4 linked regions of the Yarrowia lipolytica genome follow. The protein of the gene in region 2 interacts with the protein of the main gene of each other region in a pairwise test. Links are inferred from orthologs where the notes say so. Each region holds a gene or a part of one and is shown on either strand. Other genes may lie near its edges. The genes, in order: YALI1_C09851g, YALI1_D13226g, YALI1_F28550g and YALI1_D05222g.

Region 1 (6,181 bases), on a different chromosome or scaffold from region 2:
GAGTGAGACAAGGATGCCCTCTCTCTCCAACCCTCTTCATCATCGCAGTAGACGCACTTGTGCGTCGTCTGGACCGAGAGATGTTTGGACTGGCCCCAGGCCTGCCACTATCCCACCACCACACCACTGGGCACAGGCCGCCACAACCCCCTACTCACCCGGAGGCAGTGGCAGCTGGACACATGAAGGTGTCGGCTTTCGCGGACGACATAGCGGTGTTCCTCAACAACATCCAGGACGTGGCCACGGTTGGTAGAGTGCTCTGCCTCTTCCAACGGGTCTCAGGCCTCACACTAAACCCGTCAAAGACGGTGCTTCAGAAGATCGGCCCCCCCGATTGTTTTGTTCCACTAACCTTTATTGACGCAGAATGGCAGCGAACAATTGACGCCACCTGGCCAACCGACAACAACACACGACAGGCCCCGACGCTCCGGACATCTGACAACATTTTCCGGTACCTCGGAGTACACTTCGGAAATCGCGAAAGGTTGGACACGCACTACGCTCAGATCAAGGAGGACCTCAAGGAGTCGCTGCGACGCCTTTCACTATGGGGTCTCCCCTATTACAGCAAGGCGTGGATGATCAACATCTACTTCTTCTCGAAACTGAATTTCCTTGGACCCTACGTCAGCCAGATCGACAACACCTTCATCCGAGAGCTGAACGAACTAGCGTGCGACAAGATCAACAAATTATCACCCGACAAAACACGCAAAACCTTCAGCAATGGTTTCATCCAAACTCCGGTAGGCAGAGGAGGACTGAACCTGCGGGACATGGGACGTTTCATGGTGTGCCTGAAGGCCGCTCGGGCTTACAGGTTCTTCCATGGCTCATCGCCGGCCCTTTGGGACTGCACCTTCCAGTTCTACAGCAGAACTCACAGTCTCACACAGGAAAAGCCACACCAGCGCGTCGACTGCCGCTTTCCGACAGGCCAAGCTTGGGGCTACGCAGCCTCCCCCACCATGCGAGACGCAATCAGAGCTTCTTTCGAGCTCAACAAGCCCCTCACCGCGGAACATGCCAACCCTCGAGAAGATCACGAGCCCTCTACAACAGACACAGTTAATCACAGAATCTGGGAACGAAACCAGGTGAACGTGAGAGCAGCAGAATCTTTCCGGGAAGCACACGTCGACATCGCAGCCGCGAGACGATACCATCCGGTCAGAATGGTGTCCACAGCGGAAATCGACCACCTCCGGTGGAGCATGGGACCACTTACTCTAGAGAACTTCATGTTTCACAAGACCTCGTCTCCCGACTTGCCAAACTTCCCACACACACTTGCACGACCGAAGAAGTGGACTCAACGAAGCGACTACGGGGGCATCTCTGACGACATGGTCTGGCAGGAGGTAATGCATGACCTTCGAAAACACTACATCGCCGACGCCAACAAAGCACAAGTTCTTCACCTCATGCGGATATCTCGACTTCCGCTCGTGAAATGGAGATACCCTGACGACCACGTTTTCACCAAGAAGAATCCAGGATGCGGGCTCTGTGATAAGGCCATCATTCAGGATCTGCACGAGCATATCTTCTGCAAGTGCGAAGTTCTTCTTTCCATGTTGACCAGGATGAAGATTCCGTCAGTGGACTCTCTAAAGGACTGGATCTTTACCGAGTCGAAATGTGGAGTACTCCCCTCTTTCCCAGGGCATGTGAACAGTGACGCCCCCCGGAAACATCAACAAGTCAAGACACGCAAATATCTGCGGGAATTGGCTTATGGGATCTGGAAGATGGAGAGATCCCTCCGGTACTCAGGGGACGACGCCACCCTGGGACATGTCCAACAGGGTTTGCTTCAATTCCTGAAGGAAGCCCAGATGTGTTTCTACGATGGACAACCGCCAGCACTTCACGATGAGCGAGAGTAGACACAGTAGCAAGCGTAAAAGGCGGCCGAGGCCACCGAGAGAACAGCGTAGCAGGGCGCGTAGTCACCACAGGGGACGCAGAACCAAACCAATGACGAAGAAGAACCACAAGGAGAAGTTTTCAAAGGCAATGCAAATGAAGAGGGCAATGGAAGGATTGAGATTAGAGAACTGGAGACTGGAGTGGCGTTTTCCCGATGAACGAACAAACACGCGAAGCTATGTGGACCAACATACAACACGGACTGAACCAGGTTTTTTTATGATTTTTTTACTGGAAATAGGTACGTGCCAAGTTGGACCATGACACTAAACGTGTTTAATTAGTAATATTCGTGTAAGCGTACATTCATTTCAAAGGTTATTCTTTCACGGCAAAGTTATAATTAAATGAATGTATATGCAGAAAAAAAAAAAAAAAACAGTGATACTTAGAACAGCCCTAATTACTGTAACAATGGTATCACTCTATATATATGACCCATGAAAAAGACCCAAAAATACAACAGACCCTGAAACCAGACTGACCAGTTTATTCATCATAAAACAAACGTATACACATTTTCACTCTCGATAAAATGTTCCTGAAACGAAAGATACTTGCGGGGATCATGAAATCAGCCCAATTTGACCAGTCAATCGTCCCTACAAAAGAGTGATACGGCTGATGGAGCATTTTCATGCCCCAAATGTCCCCATTGTTACACGTGCACGGGAGCAGTTATATCACCTGTGGTGCGTATATTGGTGATATCTACAAGTAATAGTATCTACTTGTATGTGCTGTGCATACAATAGAACATACTGTATTTTAGCCGCTCAAATAAACTCTGCAGAAACTCCAAACTCACCTCCGTGATCTAGCGATAGCACCCTACAGTAGCTAGAGTCCACATGCAGGACCGGTCGCCACATGAGATTCGTCACGTTCAACATCTGTGGCATCAACAACGTGCTGAGCTACCATCCATGGAACGAGCAAAGGTCGTTTGAGCACATGTTTGCGGTGCTGAAGGCGGACGTGATCTGTTTACAAGAAACCAAGCTCCAGCCCCATTTGCTGAAGCGAGAACACGCCCTTGTGCCCGGATACGATTCGTACTGGTCTTTTTCCAACACAAAAAAGGGCTACAGCGGCGTGGCGGTCTATGTGAAACATGGCATCAAAGTTCTCAAGGCCGAGGAGGGTCTTACCGGTCAGCTGGTATCTCCGGACTCCAAAAAGGGACTCACCTACCAGCAGCTGTACGAGCGGCAAAGGGAGAGAGACGGCAGCAGCAAGAGTTGTATCGGCGCCTATCCCGAGGGCAATCCACAGCGGCTCTTTCAGGTCGATTCGGAGGGCCGGTCTCTTGTGTTGGACCTGGGGTTCTGTGTCGTGTTTGGGCTCTACTGTCCTAGCACCGCCACCGAGGGCGAGGAGCGAGATGCCTACAGAGACGACTATTTTGGGTTGCTGGAGGAACGGGTCAACCTTCTGGTTGAGGCTGGACGAGAGGTGGTGGTCATGGGAGATCTCAATGTGGCACGCGAGCTGTACGACTCAGCTGAGGGAATGCAAGCGCTGCACAAGGCCAAACACATCACTCTACCGACACTGGGAGATAAGGAGGAGGGCAGGTTTGTGGAGGTGTTTGAAAAGCTCAACCCGGGACAGTGTAAGAGCTGGAGGGAAGCCAAAGTTGGCCGACGAGTCTTCCACAGACTGGTCCCCGACCTGTTACAGGACTCGTGCCGCGACAAGCATCCCAATCGACCCGACATGTATACTTGCTGGAACGTGATGATGAACTACCGGCCCGGAAACTTTGGGTCTCGTATCGACTACGTGCTGGCCTCAAAAGGTCTGAAGGTGGAGGATGCCGATATTCTGCCCCACCTGGAGGGCTCAGACCATTGTCCCGTTTATGCAGAGGTGCGCGAACCAGACGCGTGCCAAGAAAAAGACAACCGTGCCACTCAAGGTGCAGCTAACCAGACCAAACAAGCGTCGTCCTCAGCCCCAAACTCGTTTCGGCCAAAACTGTTCCACAGAACTAACAAGCAGTTTGTGCAGACCACCTCGGTCATGTCCATGTTCCGGGCACAAACGCCGCCGACCAAGGGCATTACCAAACCCAAAGCGCCCTCCAAATCGACTGCCAAAAAACAGGCGGCCATCTCCTCCTTCTTCCAAAAGCCAGATCCAGAAGCTGCCGTCGTATCAACATGCGTCTCGGATGTGCACACAAAGCCGTTGGGACAATCACAATCACCCGCCGCGTCCCCAAATATTGAAAGGACCTATCAAGGTTGCGATGCAGGTGCGCATGCGACTCGAGAGGGTGAAGATACGAGACCGCAAATGGCCACCAGACTGGACTTGCCAGAGCCCACCGAGTACCTAGACATTGCGGAGCGCGTGGAGGAGGCCGAAAAGGTCGCGTCGCAGTGGTCCAAGATCATGACAAAAAAACCTGCCCCCGTCTGTGCCCACAACCTCCCGGCGGTGCTAAGAACCACCCGCAAAAAGGGACCCAACCAGGGCAAGCACTTTTGGGTTTGTGGCCAGAACCACTCGCTGCAGCTCGTCGGCGACTCCTACAAGGCATCGGCAGACCCCGACGCCAAGGGCTCCCAGGACGACACCAGTGCCAGATGTAACTTCTTTCAGTGGAAATAAAATTAAATTATAATACCGTTAGTGTGTCCAATGATAAACGTACAGTGAGTACAGAAAATTACCAAGCTCAACCCAGTGTGGCATGCTTAAAAAGCTGCCTGTTGGTGAACGAGCGAGTAGTCAAGTCATCATAAGGAGAAACGAAATCATCAATATCCAGAATGTCAAAATAGTCCTGCCCATCGGGAGGCTGCCGAGGGACGTGCTGCTCCTGTGAATCTGATCTTGGTCCTTGCGATGGGAGAGTGATATCATCCAGGGGCATCATGAGGAATTCTCGAGTAGGTGTATCGAGAACAAAGTTGGGGTCATAGCACGTAACGTGAGAGTTGTTGCTAAAGAAAGCAGTCATTGGGCTAACAGTCATCCTTCCCCCGACACCAACGGTAGGGCCGACCAGTACTTGGAGAGCAGTAACCTTGTTCTTACCCTTTGCTCCCTTTTTCTTAGACTTAGTTGCACCCTTCTGGACCTTCGGCTTCTTTGGGGACTTGGGCAGTTTGTTCGGGATATACTCAGGATAGTCGACTTCGTGGTATAGGGCTTCGAAGAAACCCATATACTTGAACCATCGCCGAACAATAGGATTGGGGATTCCCGAGCCCCAGATATAACTGGAGACCCTCGAAACAAATGCTGAGTTGGGATCAATGCTCTGAGAGCATCTGGATGTTGCATTTCGGAACAAGATGTAGCTGTTCCTAGGTTTCAGAACTTTGGGTTCAATGTACTCAGGCTCATTCGTTCGACTGTCTTGCCTGATGAACAGCCCCTTGTGACCGTCATATTGCAAAAAGTTGAGTGATATTTCCAGTCCATTTGGCTTCTGAGTTAGAACCGTACGTGAATCGCTAGTGTCCCTGTCGAATAACATAGCCTCGGGGTAGGGCTGTTCTGTTTGGGGTAGTTGAAAGGAATGAATGTGTAGTATCGTGTTTTCCATTTTGAGGATGTTATGTGTGGCTTGGTATAGCTGATAATAGCCAGCCAAGAGAGTTGCATGTTGTTTATATATATTTGTCGATATGTGTTGGTCTGGAAATACTAGATCTCTAGTTTAGGCAATTGTGATGAGGCAAGAGCCAATGTCGCTTAAGGTGTCTTTGTTCCAGAACCATATGCACGGCGTGCATGAATAATATCGGGGTAAACTAGCCACATCCACCTCGTCTGACCAGTCCAAGTGACCATTGTAAATATATATCTAGAAACGGCCCCACCAAGTACACCCTGGTACTTAATTAAACAGATACGACATTTTTTTTCTCCCCACATCACATGCCTAGCCGAACCCCTACAGATATCTGGCGCTGCCAGCGCCTGATCTTGGCCGCAAGAAAAGGCGAAACCACGTGCCAGGCCCTTCACGAACAGTCAATCGAAATCTCCAGTTCCCTTAAATGGTTTGAAGAGATTTCTGAGTGGATGTCCAAATTCCCTGAGAGTGGACTCTACATAAGCACAACGATTTGGACCTTTTTGGAGGGTGTTCCAAATGAACACAGAATCAAATACGACAGGCTGATTCGCCACTACATCACTTACATCCAGCAACTGGTACCAGCGAGATTAGTGAGTATATTGAAAACAAGAGCAGTATTGGGGAATACTAAAACAGAACGAA
Region 2 (5,560 bases):
GGACGGAGTCAGATCCAGAGTGTCCACCTCGTCCAGATCATAGGTTAGTGATTCGTGCATCTTTTGCACCTTGACATTGCGGTCGTCTTCGATGGAGTCGTCCGTTTCGTACTCGTCGTCGTCGTCCTTGAGTAGAGGGCCCATTCTGGTCTCTAGAAACACAACGTTCTTGTAGACGACAGACTTGCGGCAAATACTGCACTCCCCCACCGAATCAGAGGCCCGAACCCCCGAAGAAAGAGCCTTGAACACGCAGTCCCCGCAGTAGAGATGGCCGCATTCCGTGACACAAAGCCGATCTGGCGGCTCGAGGCAAATCGGACACTTGACCTCGCGCAACTTGCTGTGTTGATCTGGCGGAGGAGCCGACAGATCGAGCCCGTCGTCGTCGTTGCTGTCGTAATCGGAGGCGTCGGAGGCATCCAGATCAATCACATTGTGCGTTTCTTCGTCTCCGGAGTCAATGTACAGTGGCTGGGACGAGTTGTCTGTGTCTGTGTCGTTAATGGTGAGCATGCGCGATTCGGGCGTCGATGCAGAGCTGTGGACAGAAAGCGGTGTCCCGGACATTGCCTGTCGCTGGACTTGCTGCCTGTGTACTGTTTGCAGTTTGGTATGGTGTTTTGTTGGACTAAAAAACGGACTCTGTTTAGGTTTAAGCACTGGGCTTACTTGGTTCGGAGTGTGAGATATTGTTAGGAGGCTAAGGCGGCGGGTAAAGCGGGATGAAAAAAGAATAGTACTACTCATTTGTGAACGATCCAAGCCATCGCCTTAGATCACGTGACTAGAAGTCACTCCGCACTCCTCGTTATGCAAGATAACGTTATCTTACAGCAACACAATGTCAATCAATATACATAATCGTTCATTCATCATATATAACTAACAAATCTAGTTCATCTTGGAGATAATATCGTTAGTGACCTGCTCGGTAGAGGCAGATCCTCCGAGATCGGGAGAAAGCAGCTTGCCCTCAACCAGGTTGGCGTCGACAGCCTTGTAGATCTTGGCGGCCTCCTCAGGGTAGCCAAGGAACTCCAGCATCAGAGCGGTGGATCGGATGGTGGCAATGGGGTTGGAAATACCCTTACCCTCGATGTCGGGGGCAGAGCCGTGGCAGGGCTCACCAATGACAAAGTCGTCGCCAACGTTGGCAGAGGGGACAACACCCAGAGAGCCGACGAGGGCAGCGGCTCCGTCGGACAGAATGTCTCCGTACAGATTGGGGGCAACCACAACGTCGAAGAACTGAGGCTCTCGGAACAGTCGGTAAACCATGGAATCAACAATCTGCTCGTTGATGATGATGGCATCAGCAGAGACGCCCTCGGCCTTGAGCTCCTTCTCAGCGGAGGCTCGGGCAACCTCTCGGAAGAGACCGTCGGAGGTGGACAGCACGTTAGACTTGTGGGTGATGGTCAGAATGGGCTTCTCGTGGAAGAGCTTACCGCCCTCGAGCTTTCGAACCTGCTCTCGCTGCAGAGCGATCTTGGTGGCGATGGTGGCGATCTTGTCGGTGGCTCGCTCGGTGATTCGCTTGATGGCCTCGGCCACCTTCTGGCCGTCCTGCTCGTAGGCACGCTCCTCCTTGATGTACAGATCCTCAGTGTTCTCTCGCACAATGACGAGATCGACCTTCTTGTCGGTGGCCTGGACGGCCTTGACGGGTCGCACGTTGGCGTACAGACCCATCTTCTTTCGCAGAGCGACAATGGGAGAGGAGTAGCCTGCGACCTTGGTGGTGGGAGAGGAGACAGCACCAAAGAGGGCACCGTCACACTTTCGCAGCTCGTCGACGGTCTCGTCGGGCAGAGCGGTTCCGGTCTGCTTGAAGAGCTCGAAGCCGGCCTTGAGGTCAACAAACTCGAACTTGAGCTTGTTGGACGGCAGGTTCTCGAGAATCTTTCGGCCAGCGGGGATGACCTCTCGGCCAATACCGTCTCCGGGGATAAGACCTGGGTTAGTATAGGTAAAGAATGGCTGAAGCTCTGGAACGAAAAAAAAAAACCACTTTTCCGTTGCCGAATCGAGCAAAATCTGGGGTGGCATCGGCCATGCCAGGGTATGAGTCACACTAATGCTTGTATGATCCTTCCGTGTCGCTTGATTGTGCTACTCACCAATCTTGAGAGTCTTGGCTCCGGTGGAGTACATTCGGGTCTGGAGTCGCATGGCTCGGTTGGCAAACATTTTGTCGAAGAGAATGGAATGACAGTGTCGAAGAAAGAAGGTGTGCGACGGTGGGTTTTGGTCAATCAGTCAGTCATCATAGAGTTTGCTAATGCACAGGCTGCAGCTCAGATCCGAGTCGGCCTCTAGTGCAGTTCCTGACTCTGCAGAGAGCAGCTGCAAGTTCAATTCTCGCTAAAACCAACCAATTGTCCATATTAATGGCCCCTATATATCAATTCCATCTCTATAACGACCGGATCACCTCCAAAATACCATGTTGCACTGGTCAACGTCAATTCACATGATTTGGAAGAAAGACAGCTATATAGTAGCTCCCAGCGAGCCTATTTCGGAGCATTGAGCGTTGAAAGTGTCACTTGTACCTTAAAGTGTGCGCGGTTCGAGTCTCGGTGTGAAGGAATAAAGCACTGGGAAAACTTCAAGACAAGATTGTAATCATCAACAACTTATCACACAAAAGCACGGTAAAAGTACAGCACATAAGTAGTTGTATTTGCACGGTAATCTGGCCTGATCCATCGTATTAAGCCGAGTAACATTCACGGTATAAGGTCAGTACAATCTCCGTTGTTTCATTGATGCTGTACACCTCCAATCCTCCAATCCTCCAATCGACGTGTTTGACACCGCCAAACTTTAAATAGCTCGTTGGTATTGCCAGGGAGAACGGTTCCGAAGGCAGTCGTATAAATGTGTGAGAAAAGGGTCTACACACCTCCGTTCAAAGTGTCACGTGACCCTGGAGATGTACTGTACCACCATCCGTTTGTCATTGGAGTATTGAAAGTCCAAAAGCCGTCTCTAAATCTGCCCACCAGCCACCCTCGCCCCCTTTATACTTGTCTGCACACCTGTGTTACCCTACCGACGCGTTGTGGTTAATCCCAATTGGGAATAGTGATTTGTCGCGTTTTAGATTAAAACACGTCCCTCTTTCTTTTCCTCCATCTACACCACCACCACAGTAACTCTTCCAACACACACACACATCTAACAATGCTTGAGGCCAAATTGAACGAAGCTGCTCTTCTCAAGAAGGTGAGTAAGACAACCGGCAACGGAACATCAATTTGTGTTTGCATACCCCTATTCCTTGTCTTTACTAACCCAGATCATCGATGCCATTAAGGACTCCGTGACTGATGTCAACTTTGAGTGTTCCGAGACTGGAATCGACGTACAGGCCGTCGACTCTTCACACATTGCCCTGGTGTCTCTGAAGCTCGGATCCGACGGCTTCTCTGACTACCGATGTGACCGAAACATCACACTCGGAATCAAGGTGGCTTCGCTTGTCAAGATTCTGCGATGCGCTAACGACCGTGACGCCCTGACCCTTATGGCTGACGACAACGGCGACCAGCTGCGGCTCACCTTTGAGGACTCCAAGTCCGAGCGAGTGTCTGAGTTTGTGCTCAAGCTCATGACGATCGACCAGGAGCATCTCGGAATCCCTGACACCAAGTACGAGTCGGACATCACCATGCCCGTGGACGCGTTCCAGAAAATCATGCGGGATATGTTCATGCTGTCCGAGTCTGTCAAGATTTCGTGCGACAAGGAGGGCGTCAAGTTCAGCTGCAAGGGCGACGTGGGAGACGGATCCGTGCTCATCAAGCCCTCTTCCTCGGTCGACGACGAGGGATCTACCACCATCGCTGTCGAGACCCCTGTGTCCATGGAGCTCAACCTCAAGTACCTCAACAACTTCTGCAAGGCGTCGGGCCTGGCCCAGAACGTGCATCTGGGCATGTCTTCCGAGGTGCCCATCATGGTCGAGTACCTGCTCCCCAACGGCTACCTGAGATTCTACCTCGCTCCCAAGATTGGCGACGAGGACGAGGAGGACGAGGATGATGACTAATGGACACGACAGTAGAATAGGCTAGTATAGGCGCATTAATTATAGGAAAGATTATAGAACACGAGTGACTACAGTAGTACATTTGTAGTGAGCACATCGGGAGCACAGTTGGAGAGAATGGCCTTCCTTTTACTACAGGAATTGTAGTAGCACTGGAAGTACCTGATCCGGTTTGAACAGTATGGTAATGTGCACACTGTACAGTAAGTAGATGAACGGCAGTATACTGGTAACAAGACCAAACAGTTGATAAGTCTACAAGTACAAGTACAGTAGTACAGTATGTACTGGTGCAGTAGACAAACCGACCTCTGATGTAACGCCATTCTAGTTTCAGATCAATATGTTTATGTGGAAAGTGGCTGTAAATGGGTCGTGATGGAAAGCGCAGTGTACATCATACTACATGAAGATACCGTTGTAGCTGCTGTGGAACAGTGTCAACCACGTTCCAGAGTGACAGAATGTTTTACTGGTAGATAAGCAGGTGACCAAGGACTGGTACATCTCCCTCTGCTTACTAACCATATCCTTCTCAAGTCCATCCGCTACAGTCTCACTTGTGAGACATCTTCGGGAGTCTTTAACTTAACAAGCATGTACAAGTGCTATTCTGGTACGGACAGCATGGTGCCAACCTGATAGGACGACACGCCGAGCTGCTGAGATTCTGCACCTCTTCTGTGGTTGTCTTTGTGGGTTGTACAAGCACTCGTTAGTTCTCTACTAATGACCCTGGGCACAGGTGCACGATACATGTGGGTTTTGATGCTACTTGTATACATATTACAAGTGTTGGTAGGTGGTCGTGCAGTATCTTACCATGGCGATATTTGTAGGGTTCAATGTCTGATGGCTCGTCTGCCACCACCAATTTCTTCGTTCTATTCTAGAGTTGTTTTCAGGGCCTCCGGCTAGCTCCAATCTCGTGCAGTATGTTACTCGTACTGGTGAGTTAATAGGGCGGTATTGTAAAAGAAGAGCCCAACTAGACGCGTCCACAATAGGCCTTGAGCATGAGTCTATAGGGTTGTTAGCGTATGGCCATGTCTAGTTCCATGGCGTTAGCGTGCTTTGTGTGGAGGAGGCCACGTAGCGTGTACTTGGGAGGGTTGCCGACATCTTCGTCTTCTTTTTCGTGTCATTTTCTCCTCCACACACCCATCCTTTGGCTGCTACGTACACACGGTCTATGTTCCTCCACCTCAATGTTATTATGTGGAAACCTACGGGTCCATAAGTCTTCCCCACTGATCACCACTCGTATCTTTACCAGGCGAACTTTCTCAGGCCTGAACCAACTAACCGGGTCTCACAGGTGCGGCTTTTTAGACGACCCGGTGCGAGTGTGGAAGGAAAAAAAAATGCAGTCACATTGCGGACCACGACGATGACGTGTTCTGTTACACAGACGCCGTCACCCAACGCATAGACTACAAGTACGTTCTTGTGGCACCACTTGCTCGTCTCTTGTTACACTCTACTTCACTTGCCGGTTGG
Region 3 (6,050 bases), on a different chromosome or scaffold from region 2:
CCACTGGATGGGATAGGGATTCTTGGTATGCTCCAAGGCAACTCGAGGCTTGCTTCTGGGGATGTCTGAGACGTGAAGAGTGGGCAGACAGTCAAGGTTCTCAGGCTCTTCCTGCATCTTTTCCAGGTTGGCCCCGGTCTCGAAGATTTCCTCCTTATCAGATTCAGTCAGTTTGGCCAGCTTGTCGGTCAGAATCTCGTCCTCCTTTTCCTGCACATTCTTCTCATAGTCGGGATTGGGGTTCATCTGAAAGTGGAAGTACTTGTTGTCGAGCAAGTACTTCTTCATCACCTTCTGCAGGAACTCAGGGTCGGCCTCCATGTCTTTGTTGAACCGATCGAGCACAGAATTCCACTCCAGAGCCTCCAGGGGGTCGACCTGGTTAAACCAGCCAGGAAGAACACCGTTCATAAGAGCCATACCGAACTTGGCGTTCTGGTCCTTTCGAGCAAGCTCAGTCTGATGCAAAAGACCGTCGATTCGGCCCTTGTCGAAGCCCTCAGCAACGGTAGTCTTGATGGTGTCGAGAATAACAGTCTCGACCTTTGTAAGATCGCTCTCGGTCACTCCCTGAAGACCAACAGAGAAAATGTTAGCTCCAGGAGCACTGTCAAGGCCAGTGTTGGGAGAGTAGGAAGATCCAAGACCGGAATCAATCAGCTTCTGATGAAGGGGGGAAGAATGACCGTCAATGAGTAGAGAAGAGATGATCTTGACGCAGAAAGACTCGTAAATGTCCTTGGGAGAACCCATCAACCACGACATGGACATCTTGTGCTGCTTAGACGTATCCAGAAGAGTGTCAATAGGACCCTCTTCAACGATACGGGTGTTCTCAGCGGCAGAAGAAAATTCGAGAGGCAATCTCTCGGTGTTTCCGGGAGTTTTGGAGATCTCACAATTCTCAAATTTGGCGTTCAGAGCCTCCAAATGGTCAGCAACAGAGATATCTCCATAAGAAAACGTCTTGGCGTTGCTGGGGTTGTAGTGATCAGCATGAAACTTCTTGAGACCCTCGTAGGTGAGTTCGGGAATAACAAGAGGGTCTCCTCCAGAGTTGTTCAAACTGGGGTAGATCTTCTCCAGGTACCGAATGTAGAAAGCGTAAGCAGCATTGGACATTTGACCTTTCATCTCGTTGAAAACGACACCCTTGAGGATGATGGGACTGGTCTTGTCCTTGGAGTCCTCGTTTTCCAGTCTCCAGCCTTCCTGAGAAAAGTCCAGCTCTCGAAGCAGAGGCTTCAGGGTAGCATCGAGGTACACATCTCGCAGATTCTTCATGTCGGTAGCGTTGGTGGTAGCAAAGGGGTAAAAGGTGTAGTCCTGGGCGGTCATCGCGTTCATGAAGTTGGCAAGAGATCGGTTAAGCATCTTGAAGAAGGGATCTCGGACTTGGTACTTTTCCGATCCACACAACGTTGTATGCTCCAGAATATGGGGAACTCCGGTTCGATCGGGAGGATTAGTCTTGAAGCCGATGGAAAAGACGTTGTTGGAGTCATCTCGAGCAATGTGCAGATGCTGGGCTCCAGTGGAGTGCTCTAGCAGGGTAGCCTGCAGATCAAACTCGGGGATCTCTTTGGTTCTGAGAACATTGAAGCCATGGATATTGTCGCCGACAGAGAGAGTGGGTGCGGAGGTGGTGGCGAAACGTCGAACCACGGCCTGGACCGGTTTTTTGAGCGACTTTAGACGTAACATGGTGGTGGAAGAGAGTGTCGATGCAAGTCTCGATTTTAGATAAAAGAGTGAACAACTCTAAATGATTTATAATAGTTGGGGGAAGGTAGCGACGAGGCGGTGGTCACATTACAGGAAAACAAATATGGATTGATACCATGTACCATGAGTGATCACGTGCCATGAGTGATCACGTGGACAGTTTTCGTAGTCAGGATTTCCGTCTGTGGGTTTCTGGAGAGTTGTTAGAGCGTCAATAACCGACATCTTCCTCGATGCGGGGAATAGGGTAAGGGAGAAACCCGTGAGGTGGCAAGACGAAGATTAGTAATATTTATAATGAGTGGAGGACTGATCACGTGATAGGATTCTACGATCGTGTGGCTAACTTATGCTTGATGGGCTCGTGGCGGTCGAGAATGATTTCTTATCTGTCTTTTGAACACTCCTGGTGATGCATAATTAGGTTGCAAAGGTCTGGAATACTGATGGAAGAAATCGATTTCAGTGTCGCTGCTAAGACGAGGAGGGGACTTACAGAGAGAAGAATAACAGCATTAAAAATAAGGGTGCCTGTAGCTTTCGATCTATATAAATAATGTACTACAATCTCATTACGTTGCTTACCGTAAACTGCGATTATTTCCGTAGGTGCTGTGTTGAGGTTTTCAGTGGCGACTCGCCAGATTGTCAAAACAGGCTATTCGAGTCACAACAGAAGACGTAGGCTAGCTACTGTATTTAAAACAAGCATCCTAATGAAAGTACTTGTACTCACCTTGTAGGTTGCGGCTCCCAGCAACCAACAACCACAATTATTTACATGATCTGACAATTCAGTCAAATGTTGGAATCAGCATACTCCCGTGAAAATGTGGACCTTGCATTTCCAGGGCCTGGACTGTTTCGGTGGGTGTTTGGATCGCAGTCTCGCCACCAGACGTTTCTTTCCACCACCTTCGTAGACCTGATCGACTGTTTATAGCGAGAAACAGTGGGTTCTGTTTGTGGTGTGTAATTGTGGAGGTCAGGTTGGCGTCGGAGTTGGGACTATTAATAGGTTCAGGTTATGACAAGTATTTTTAGCGACTCGCACAGCATGTACACTATGAATAAGAGAGATGCACAGAGTCAGTGAGAGATTAGAGATAGTTGAACAGACACGTGACGAAAAATATCTCGTGACCTATTAGTTGCAATTGAATTATATTTGGTAACGTGACACGCTCACGACTTCCGCGTTCAACTAATTACCACTTCTGGACGCGTCTCCCAAATCATTTCAATTAAGCTCTTGGGTACGCGTCGTGAAGGCTGGGCCTTGTAACCTCCTTCTTTCCTCCACAACACCATGGACAGCTCTCCAATTCGACTCATGAGCGCAAGTGAGCAGAATGCAGGATGTGACAAGCCTGTAATGGCCGACAACAAGCCTCTGTGCACGATTACCACGCCCGAACCGTCACCCAAGCGTCGAAAGATCTCTGCCGAGGAGAAAGAAAAGATGCGACTTGAAAAGGAACAGATCAAGAAGCAGAAAGAGGAAGAGCGAGAGCAGCTTCGAAGACAGAAGGAAGAAGAGAAAGAGCTACTGAGAAAGCAGAAAGAGGAGGAGAAGGAACAACTGAGGAAACAGAAGGAGGAGGAGAAGAGGGGGCTAAAGAGGAGGAAGAAAGGGAAAGAGGAGGAGAAACGACGACGAGAAGAGGAACGAAAGAAGGCTGCCGAAGAGAAGGAGCTTGAGCGAGCCAAGATTGCAGAGGAGAAGGCTAAGTTGGCTGAAGAGAAGGAGGCCAAGAGACTTGAAAAAGAAGCTGAACTCAAGAAGAAGGAGCAAGAACAGACTCGAATCATGTCTTTCTTTAACAAGAAGACCAAAAAGAAGACCAAGAAGGAAGCTGTTAACAGTGACAAGTGTTTGGACTTTGATAAAGACTTCCTACCCTTCCACATCAAAGATACCGTGTGTATGGCAGACAAGACGGAGTGTGAAGTGATGGATCAGGATCCTGTTGACTGGCTCAACAGTCTCAACCTTTCTGATGACAGCAACACCGCCGAAGCAGAAGAACCACCTGTTCCCGTCAAAACCATCATTACTCACATCCAGACCGCTGCCACTCTGGGTCTCAATCCTGATAATTACAACGGTACTCCTTTAGACACGCTGGTCAATGCTCTTCCTAGACGATACTTGCAGTTCTATGGTGACGAGCGACCCGCATACCTGGGCACGTACTCCAAGAGCTGCTCGCGTGATCTGTTGCAGAACCCTCTCTTCCAGGTGCCTGGTTTGGACTACGAGTACGACAGTGAGGCCGACTGGGAAGATGAAGGAGAAGATATTGAAGATGATGAAATTAGTGGAGACGAGGAGATGGAGGACGACGAAATGGCCGACTTTGTGTGTTCTGATGATGCCAAGAGTCCCAGCACCATGACTTCAAAGGTCACGACAGCCCAGGAACCTGTTGTTGTCTGGGGCTGCTCAGATATGGTTGGTATGACTTTTGGAGGACTGATTGTCCAGGGGGCAATTGACCCATTCAAAGACTATTGGACTGTTGCAAAAGTTGAGCAGAAGACCGATACTAAGAGTGACGTGACAATGACTAGTGCGACATCAGCTTCTGGTACAGCTATTAAATCTACTACAACCAAAACCGAACTCAGCCCGTTTGCAGTCCTCTCCAAAACTCTGTCACCTTCCCCAGCGGTTGCTTCAGCCACGAAACAGTTTCTGGCTGCTGCCAAGCCTCAGAAGCTCATTGCTGGAGACGATCTGACTGCTCTTTTGAAGCGAGTAGATGGATCCGACGATAACAAGACGCTGTTGACCGAGCTGCTTTGTAAGCAGTATCCCCAGTACACACGCAAGATGGTCACGGCCACCATTCAGCACTATGCTGAGCGACAGGGTCCTAAGAGCGACAAGCGGTGGGTTCTGAAGGATATCTAGGCCGGGGAATGATGAGTTCTGCTGGAGTACACATGACGCAGTAGATAATGAATTAACGATGAACTGATGATTCAATAATGAAACAACTGTGTGAGAACGATGGCCGAGGCCTATACTCGTAAAGTAGTACTTTTGTGCTTGATTCCACCGCCGCACTTAAAGGGACGTCAGAAGTAAAATTGGTACAGTACACTGAAATACGGTCACGTGACTCGATCCCACCTCTCGCCTCTCGGGTAACGTATAGCCGATCCATCCTCATCCTCATCCTTTTCTATGTGTAGCTGCATTGCACCTCCATTTCAATGTCGTACTTATACCAGGTATTTGGGGTTGACATCCTTGTACAGTATTTAGGCTCAGTGCAAAATGGACCGTGAACCCAGTTTCGATCGCTCTTTCGACAGGCTCTGGTCTACAAACTCTTACTGTACATCGGGCAAATCAAAGAAGACAGAGATACCCGATTGGCAGATCGACACAAGTATGGTTTGGCCGGAATAAGCAAAGGCGCAAAGTGTAATCAAGATTTGAAAATTGCTCATCGTGGAAAAAGAAACGGGGTGGGGGACATTTAATTGGTAGTGAGTGGTAGAGGTGGTGATATATACTGTGCACGGTTGTTCTATTAAATGGAGGTGAGCGACTTAGACCTTTGGAGTAATAAGACTGTAGTTGTGAAATGAAGGCTTCAGTTTACAGCAGTACATACTGTAGCTGATTTAAGCCTCCTTAGCGTATGAGCGAAATGTTTCGATGTAGCGCTTCAGATGGGATATTCCCTTAGGAACGTACTGTGATAAACGGGAACTTTAACAAAAAGAGGAGTGGATTATTGGGACGATTTCCTCGCGAGTCGGCAGTCACGAAGTTCAGTGGGTATTTAGATATGTGATCATTATCTGATGGGTTAGTCTGAGAATACCAAAGAAGTCGTCGAGTGAAGACTCATACTTTTCACCTCCGTAACATGTGCTGATGTTCTCGATTGATGAAGTCCTTCGTTTGTCAAAACTATTTGTAGTTGTCTGAAGTCGCGGACTGCTGAGTCTACTTGTGCCTTCCTGCGGATTACGATCTCCACAACAATAGCTACTCTTACTCAATACAACAATTAATCAATTACTTTTGGACGTCTTTCGACAATAAATAATGTCGTTTACACGACACATCATCAACGATACTCCTCCCCTTGATTAAGCCCACTTCGCCAGCAGGGCCATGAGTCCGGCTCCGGCACACATCCAGGCAAAGGCCCAGAAGATTCGCCAGTTGTTGGCGTGCTTGAACTCGGACGAGAACAAAAACTCGTGGGCCATGAGCTCAACGAGACCGGTATACAGCAGGATACCGGAAGACACGGAGTCAAAGATACCGTTGGTGATAGAGGCTGTCTTTCCTCCAGGAG
Region 4 (5,589 bases), about 800 kb from region 2:
TGCCCAGGAGCGACATGTCCATTCGCTTCTGGACAGGCTCGGGCAGGTTGGACACAAAGATGGCGCCCATGACCAGGTCGCCCTTGGGCGAGGTGTTGGCAGCATCGGACAGGCCGAGGGCCAGATGGAGGTTTCGGTACTCCCAGATGTAGGCCTCAGGGTCGGAATCGCATTTGAGACGGGCAAACTTGAGAGCAAGGTCCTGGTCGGTGTTTTTGGTGGGGCCAGCAGAGGACATGTGTTTCTGGGGAAGGCTCGAAGTAGTTTAGCGGAAAGAGTCCGGTTTATATGTTTTTTTGCTGTTTTTGGTGGTGTGTGGGGGTGATATGATGCCGTGTACAGCTGAGTGTGGGTGTAACGACGGAGATTTCTCTCAGATTAAAAAGGGGCGTAGCAGAGTAGCACGATTGTGGGCATCCAGATAAGCGAATATCTAGATGTGGGGGTGTTCTTGTGGAAAGGAAGGGTCAAGAGGATAGTACCTTGTCGCTTGTGACCTGGGTACTGACTTGTAGATAGGTGAGGAGAGAGAAGGGAGAGAGTGTAACTGAGACTACATTACATGGTGGGAGCGTGCAAATAGAGTTGGCCGGGCTACAGTCTTAAGCAATTAGTGTTGGAGCTAAAAGCCCACTTGTTTTGACAGCTGGGTGTTCGGCCGAGTAGAGCTGTTTGTTAGTGTCGGGGAGAGATTCTATAGACGGTTGGTCTGTATGGATGGCTATAGCAGCAATGTAACGGTAGATTGGACATGTGACCTGTCAGATCAGGTGATGGAGTTGGCTAGTCGAATGGCTTGGCTGATGGTGATTCTTACGCTACACGCGTCTGTACGTAGTCATACTTGTGCTGCTTCCGTTAGATAATATTTTTTTACACGTCCAATCTTGCAATCCTGCTGCACTCTTGCACTTGCCCCAGTTACTTAGATGAAGATGCCGCGCATGACAAGAGTGCGCCAGCCAAACAGTGTTACGTGGTACCGTAGTCCCGGAAACGGATGCCTCGCAGAGGCAGCGAGTGGATGTACTGTACACGAGTAGTACAGACAAGTGTTATTCCGTGAACACGTGCCATATCAGTCTCAGTCTAGCTTCAGGTACCGGCTATTTCTCACGTCTTATTTGCACACGTCTCCACAGCCATATATTATCTTTCTTTCATAACTAAATCTCTCTCCTCGTACTCAAACTTAAGACGTCACTATTGGCTTGGCAACACCACAGTGGCAGAATGAACAGACTCACACGGCTGAAGAATGGTGGGAATGACATGTGGAATGAGAAGACGCACACAGAGTGCAAGTAATCAGTATGACTGGATAGAGAGGTTTTATTGAACAAGAGTTAAGTCGTTACTTCTACCACATAGGCTAACATATTTTTATCCCATCCCTGTTCATGGTCTCACTTAGACCCCGACAGAGTTTGGTCATCTCATGGGGCCAACCCGATAATATCTATACAGAGACATACAGGGGACTGTAGAAATTCAGCTGGTTGGTGACAAGGAAGACAGATATTATACGTTTTCACGTGACGATCAGCATGTCACCGACACAAAGAAAAATGGCTATATTCTTCCAGGTATGTACGATACACTATCTAGGCTGTATTCTCCTTGTACACTCCTGGTCTATCTACCAGTGTGCTTTTACCCGATACAGATTCTTGTTCAGCACAGTGTTGTTAGATATCATACTGTGACATAGTTTGAAATAAAAGTACTGTACGATTTTCTATGGTGCCTGAAAGACACCTGATTGCATTCAATAATACTACATATATTACTGGTAGAATTCTCTCATTAGTACCACGAGTACCAAGCATAGACTTGGGTCATATTCATGTTCATCATGCCGTTTTATAGCCACATTAAACCACCTCTTTCTAGCATCAGTACCACGCACGCCCCGAGAGCTCAGCCTTCTTTGTATGGCCGTTTCGGTTACCCCTATTTTTTGGCGCCTGTGGGTACCGTTGCTACAGTAACCTAAAGCGTAAAAAACAAAACATTCACGCTACACGACGCCCAAACTTTTTCGCGTTAGAGTTTTTCACCCCGTTGGGTCATGTGATAGCCACTGTCTAGCATCATCTCATTCCGTACTTGTGATTGGTCCCGAACACGTGTCTCAATACACACACTCAGGGTTTGAAAGCGGCAAAATGATGCAATAATGGTGTTGTATGTCTCGGCTTTTGAGTCTTGAGTGTAGGGGTATCATTGTGCAGTGGAGTTTATTTGGTGGTGCAGATGACAGATTGTTAGTTACTGTACAGTATAGATAGGGTAGTTCGTAGTGGAATAATATCAGCATAAAAATTACTGGAAATTGCCCCAGAAAACCACAGCAAACAATATATTGTGTCTGTGTAGCGAGAAACGCGTTTCTTAGACTGTAATATTAAAGTCCGCCTGATGATATCAACGTTACAGTGTGTGGATTCTAAAGTGGAGACAGTGTAGCTTTGTCATCAGGTAATCCCCAGCACGGCCAGCACGGGGATAGTGAAAGTTGAGAACAAACATCGCGTCAGAGGGAGTCAAAAATGCTTCTCCTCAAATGGCACCATTAACACCATATTATCTTGTTAGATTACTGATGATTAACATCTAAATTATCCAGATATTACTCCGCTGTGTGGATATTGGATGTGCCTTGGATTTGGTGCATCTGCTCTCATGCAGGATTCGGCAGTACTTGCCCAGTACATGATCGTATTGAGCAGTTGAGGAGTGTTTACTAATATGTCGATAGATCAAGAGTCATGTAATGCCTTAGTAGCTGAACATGATATATATTCCAGATTCATGAAATCAATCGGCATTCTTCATTCTCTAGTTGTAATCATTGTATCGTACAGAATCCTACAAGTAGTCATATATGCACCACCAAACTCAAACGCGAAACTAATTATGCGCATGTCTTCTTGCATTCACCACAGTTCATTCGAACACCACTATGAAAATCACTGACGCGTTTCAAAAGGCGCCCATCCTGGCCACGACTACCAAGACAGTTGCTAACGCTTCATTCGACCAGTCGGCCTGGCTCAATGGCCTCAAACCGGCCGATAAGGAGCTACTGGACACGGAGATCACCCATATTCACGACTCGTGGTTGCCACACCTCCACAAGGAGATCAGCAAGCCGCAATTTCTCAATTTGAAAAAGTTTCTGGCCTCCCGAGAAGCTGCCGGAGTGAACATTTTCCCGCCCAAAAAGGACATTTACTCATGGACCAGTCTTACTCCTTTCGACAAGGTCAAGGTGATCATCATAGGACAAGATCCCTATCACGGCAAGAATCAGGCTCATGGGCTGGCCTTCTCCGTCAACCCACCCACTCTGCCGCCGCCGTCCCTCAAAAACATGTACAAGTGTCTCAAGAACGACTACCCAGACTTTGACGTGCCTGCCAAGTCGGGTCTATTGACCCCGTGGGCCGAACAGGGTGTTCTAATGCTCAACACGGTGCTCACGGTTGAGGAAAAGAAGGCCAATGCGCACAAAGACAAGGGTTGGGAGGCCGTGACCTTTACAGCTCTGTCAGCGGCTGTCAAACACAACTCTGGCTGTGTGATTTTGGCGTGGGGAAGCCCTGCTGCCAAAATCGCAGACAAGATGAACATTGACAAGAGCAAGCACCTGGTGCTCAAGGCCGTCCACCCCTCGCCATTGTCGGCACATCGAGGATTCCTCACGTGTGGACACTTTAAGCAGGCCAACGAGTGGCTTGAGAAGCGGTACGGTCCAGAGGGGATTATCAAGTGGGGTCTTGAGGGTAAGACAGTTGGCAGTAAGGGGACTAAGGAGGCCACCACTGACACGGTCAAGGAAGAGCTTGCTAAAGAGTCTATCAAGGAGTCCGTTGAGACAGTTAAGGAACCTACTGAGCAGTCGTCAGTCAAACCGACATCTGCGAAGTCCACAGCACCACCATCATCACAAGAAAAGCTAGACCAACTCCTGTTGTCTGTGCCTGATGTGGATGATGACGAACTGGACGATATCCTGCCTCCCCCCAAGAAGCAAAAGGTGTAATTAGTGTATATAACGAAGGTATCGCACGACATTATGGTATTGAGCTACTTGCTGAAGGATCGGCATGGGTGGGTTGCGTTACACCGGTTGGAAATATGACTCCCAAGATCACAAGGCTGATCACTCCACTCTCCAAACACGGTTTAAACACTCCTCCTCTGAGACACGGATTTATCAAAATGCGGGGTTTTAATACCTCACGGATCGATGCTGTTCAACGAAAAGGGATATCAAATGTTTTCTTGTATAAACCACTCCAAAGCACAAGTTTCGAATATGTTTTTATCCCTGTGTAAACGTCTTGCTCTGTCGTGTTTGACTCAACTCAACAACCAAAAGCAAGTCAGCCCTGCATTGATACGACAGAGGCACATGATTCAAGTAGCTGTAAGCGATGGTTCAACGGTGTGTCTGAAAAGAAGGCTTGAGGTGTTTTCCAGACACGAGCTTCACTTAGGCAACTAACAGCTTACAGTGGTACCGGTAGTTATACCCATACCAAAATGAGAAGTTATGGCATTTATGTCTTCAGACTACAACAGGGGAATGCCGTACTACCGTACAATAGTGCAACAAAGGACAACTCCCAGTATCTCAAGCCACCCTCCAAATACCTCAAGAATCTTTCAACTGCCATCTCAACTTGTGCTCAAGGTTCAACTAAAGAACCCAGTGCGACTGATCTGATGATATGGGGTAAGCGGGGAGATGTAGATGATCAGGTGGAAATACAGAATGACAAGGAAGTGGAGTCGCTACGAGAACTCAAGCTTTTGTGATATACTAATAGAATACTTCCAGGGAAGATCAGCTGCCTTAGTACAGTACAGTACTTGTACACTTCTTTTTTTTCTATACTCTGGTTGTCATAACTTTCCAATAATACGGTTCTAGGATGAATCAACCTAAACATAATCTCCCCTAACATGGAACCTGATCATCACCTGATTCTAGATAACGAGAAGAGAAGCAGTATAAAAAGATGGGTATCTTGGTGGTTGTGATCCACTCATCGAACAATCCCTACCACCAACAAACCCACAACCACAACTACTACAATTATGGAACACATCAAAAACTTTTGGGCTGCCAAACCTCAGTACAAGGAAGTCGAGTACGCTGATCAGAGAGACAAGACGTTTGTGGTCACGGGAGGACTGTCTGGAGTGGGAATGGAATGCGCTCGTCTGCTTCTCAAGAAACGAGCTCGAGTCGTCATTGTTGGACGAAACAAGGACTTTGCCAGGGACTTGCTGTCTGAACTAGCACGGGACATTCCCGAAGGAGAAGCTGCGTTTGTGGAACTCGACTTGGCTGACCTGGAGTCTGTCAAAAAGGGCGGCCAGGAAATCGCCAGACACTACCCTGTAATCCACGGAGTCGTGCTCAACGCCGGAACTATGGCTCCTCCCTATGCCAAGACCAAACAGGGCCACGAGATCCACTGGGGTACCAACGTCATGGGCCACCATCTGCTCATGAAGTATTTGGAACCGAGTGTACTGAGAGCGGCACATGACTCACCTCCAGGAACCGTTCGA

Evidence for each region.
Region 1: the proteins of YALI1_D13226g (region 2) and YALI1_C09851g interact in a two-hybrid assay, tested with the Saccharomyces cerevisiae proteins (3 studies listed by BioGRID). The link is inferred for Yarrowia lipolytica from reciprocal best matches to the Saccharomyces cerevisiae genes POL30 and APN2.
Region 3: the proteins of YALI1_D13226g (region 2) and YALI1_F28550g interact in binary tests that used the Saccharomyces cerevisiae proteins (3 or more experiments, as listed by UniProt). The link is inferred for Yarrowia lipolytica from reciprocal best matches to the Saccharomyces cerevisiae genes POL30 and RLF2.
Region 4: the proteins of YALI1_D13226g (region 2) and YALI1_D05222g interact in binary tests that used the Saccharomyces cerevisiae proteins (3 or more experiments, as listed by UniProt). The link is inferred for Yarrowia lipolytica from reciprocal best matches to the Saccharomyces cerevisiae genes POL30 and UNG1.

Annotation. Positions count from the first base shown.
Region 1 is NC_090772.1:982,323-988,503, forward strand, and holds YALI1_C09851g (uncharacterized protein), read left to right. Parts: upstream 1-2,808; coding exon 2,809-4,557; downstream 4,558-6,181. Other genes in the region: YALI1_C09803t (uncharacterized protein), read left to right, coding at 1-1,895; YALI1_C09878g (uncharacterized protein), read right to left, coding at 4,625-5,500. UniProt on the Saccharomyces cerevisiae protein: DNA repair enzyme that cleaves apurinic/apyrimidinic (AP) sites and removes 3'-blocking groups present at single strand breaks of damaged DNA.
Region 2 is NC_090773.1:1,320,382-1,325,941, reverse strand, and holds YALI1_D13226g (uncharacterized protein), read left to right. Parts: upstream 1-3,192; coding exon 3,193-3,234; intron 3,235-3,307; coding exon 3,308-4,060; downstream 4,061-5,560. Other genes in the region: YALI1_D13251g (uncharacterized protein), read right to left, coding at 1-750; YALI1_D13238g (uncharacterized protein), read right to left, coding at 895-2,052. UniProt on the Saccharomyces cerevisiae protein: This protein is an auxiliary protein of DNA polymerase delta and is involved in the control of eukaryotic DNA replication by increasing the polymerase's processibility during elongation of the leading strand. Involved in DNA repair.
Region 3 is NC_090775.1:2,852,064-2,858,113, forward strand, and holds YALI1_F28550g (uncharacterized protein), read left to right. Parts: upstream 1-3,034; coding exon 3,035-4,642; downstream 4,643-6,050. Other genes in the region: YALI1_F28537g (uncharacterized protein), read right to left, coding at 1-1,704; YALI1_F28590g (uncharacterized protein), read right to left, coding at 5,839-6,050.
Region 4 is NC_090773.1:519,317-524,905, forward strand, and holds YALI1_D05222g (uncharacterized protein), read left to right. Parts: upstream 1-2,965; coding exon 2,966-4,048; downstream 4,049-5,589. Other genes in the region: YALI1_D05195g (uncharacterized protein), read right to left, coding at 1-238; YALI1_D05244g (uncharacterized protein), read left to right, coding at 5,110-5,589. UniProt on the Saccharomyces cerevisiae protein: Excises uracil residues from the DNA which can arise as a result of misincorporation of dUMP residues by DNA polymerase or due to deamination of cytosine. Not involved in strand-directed mismatch repair.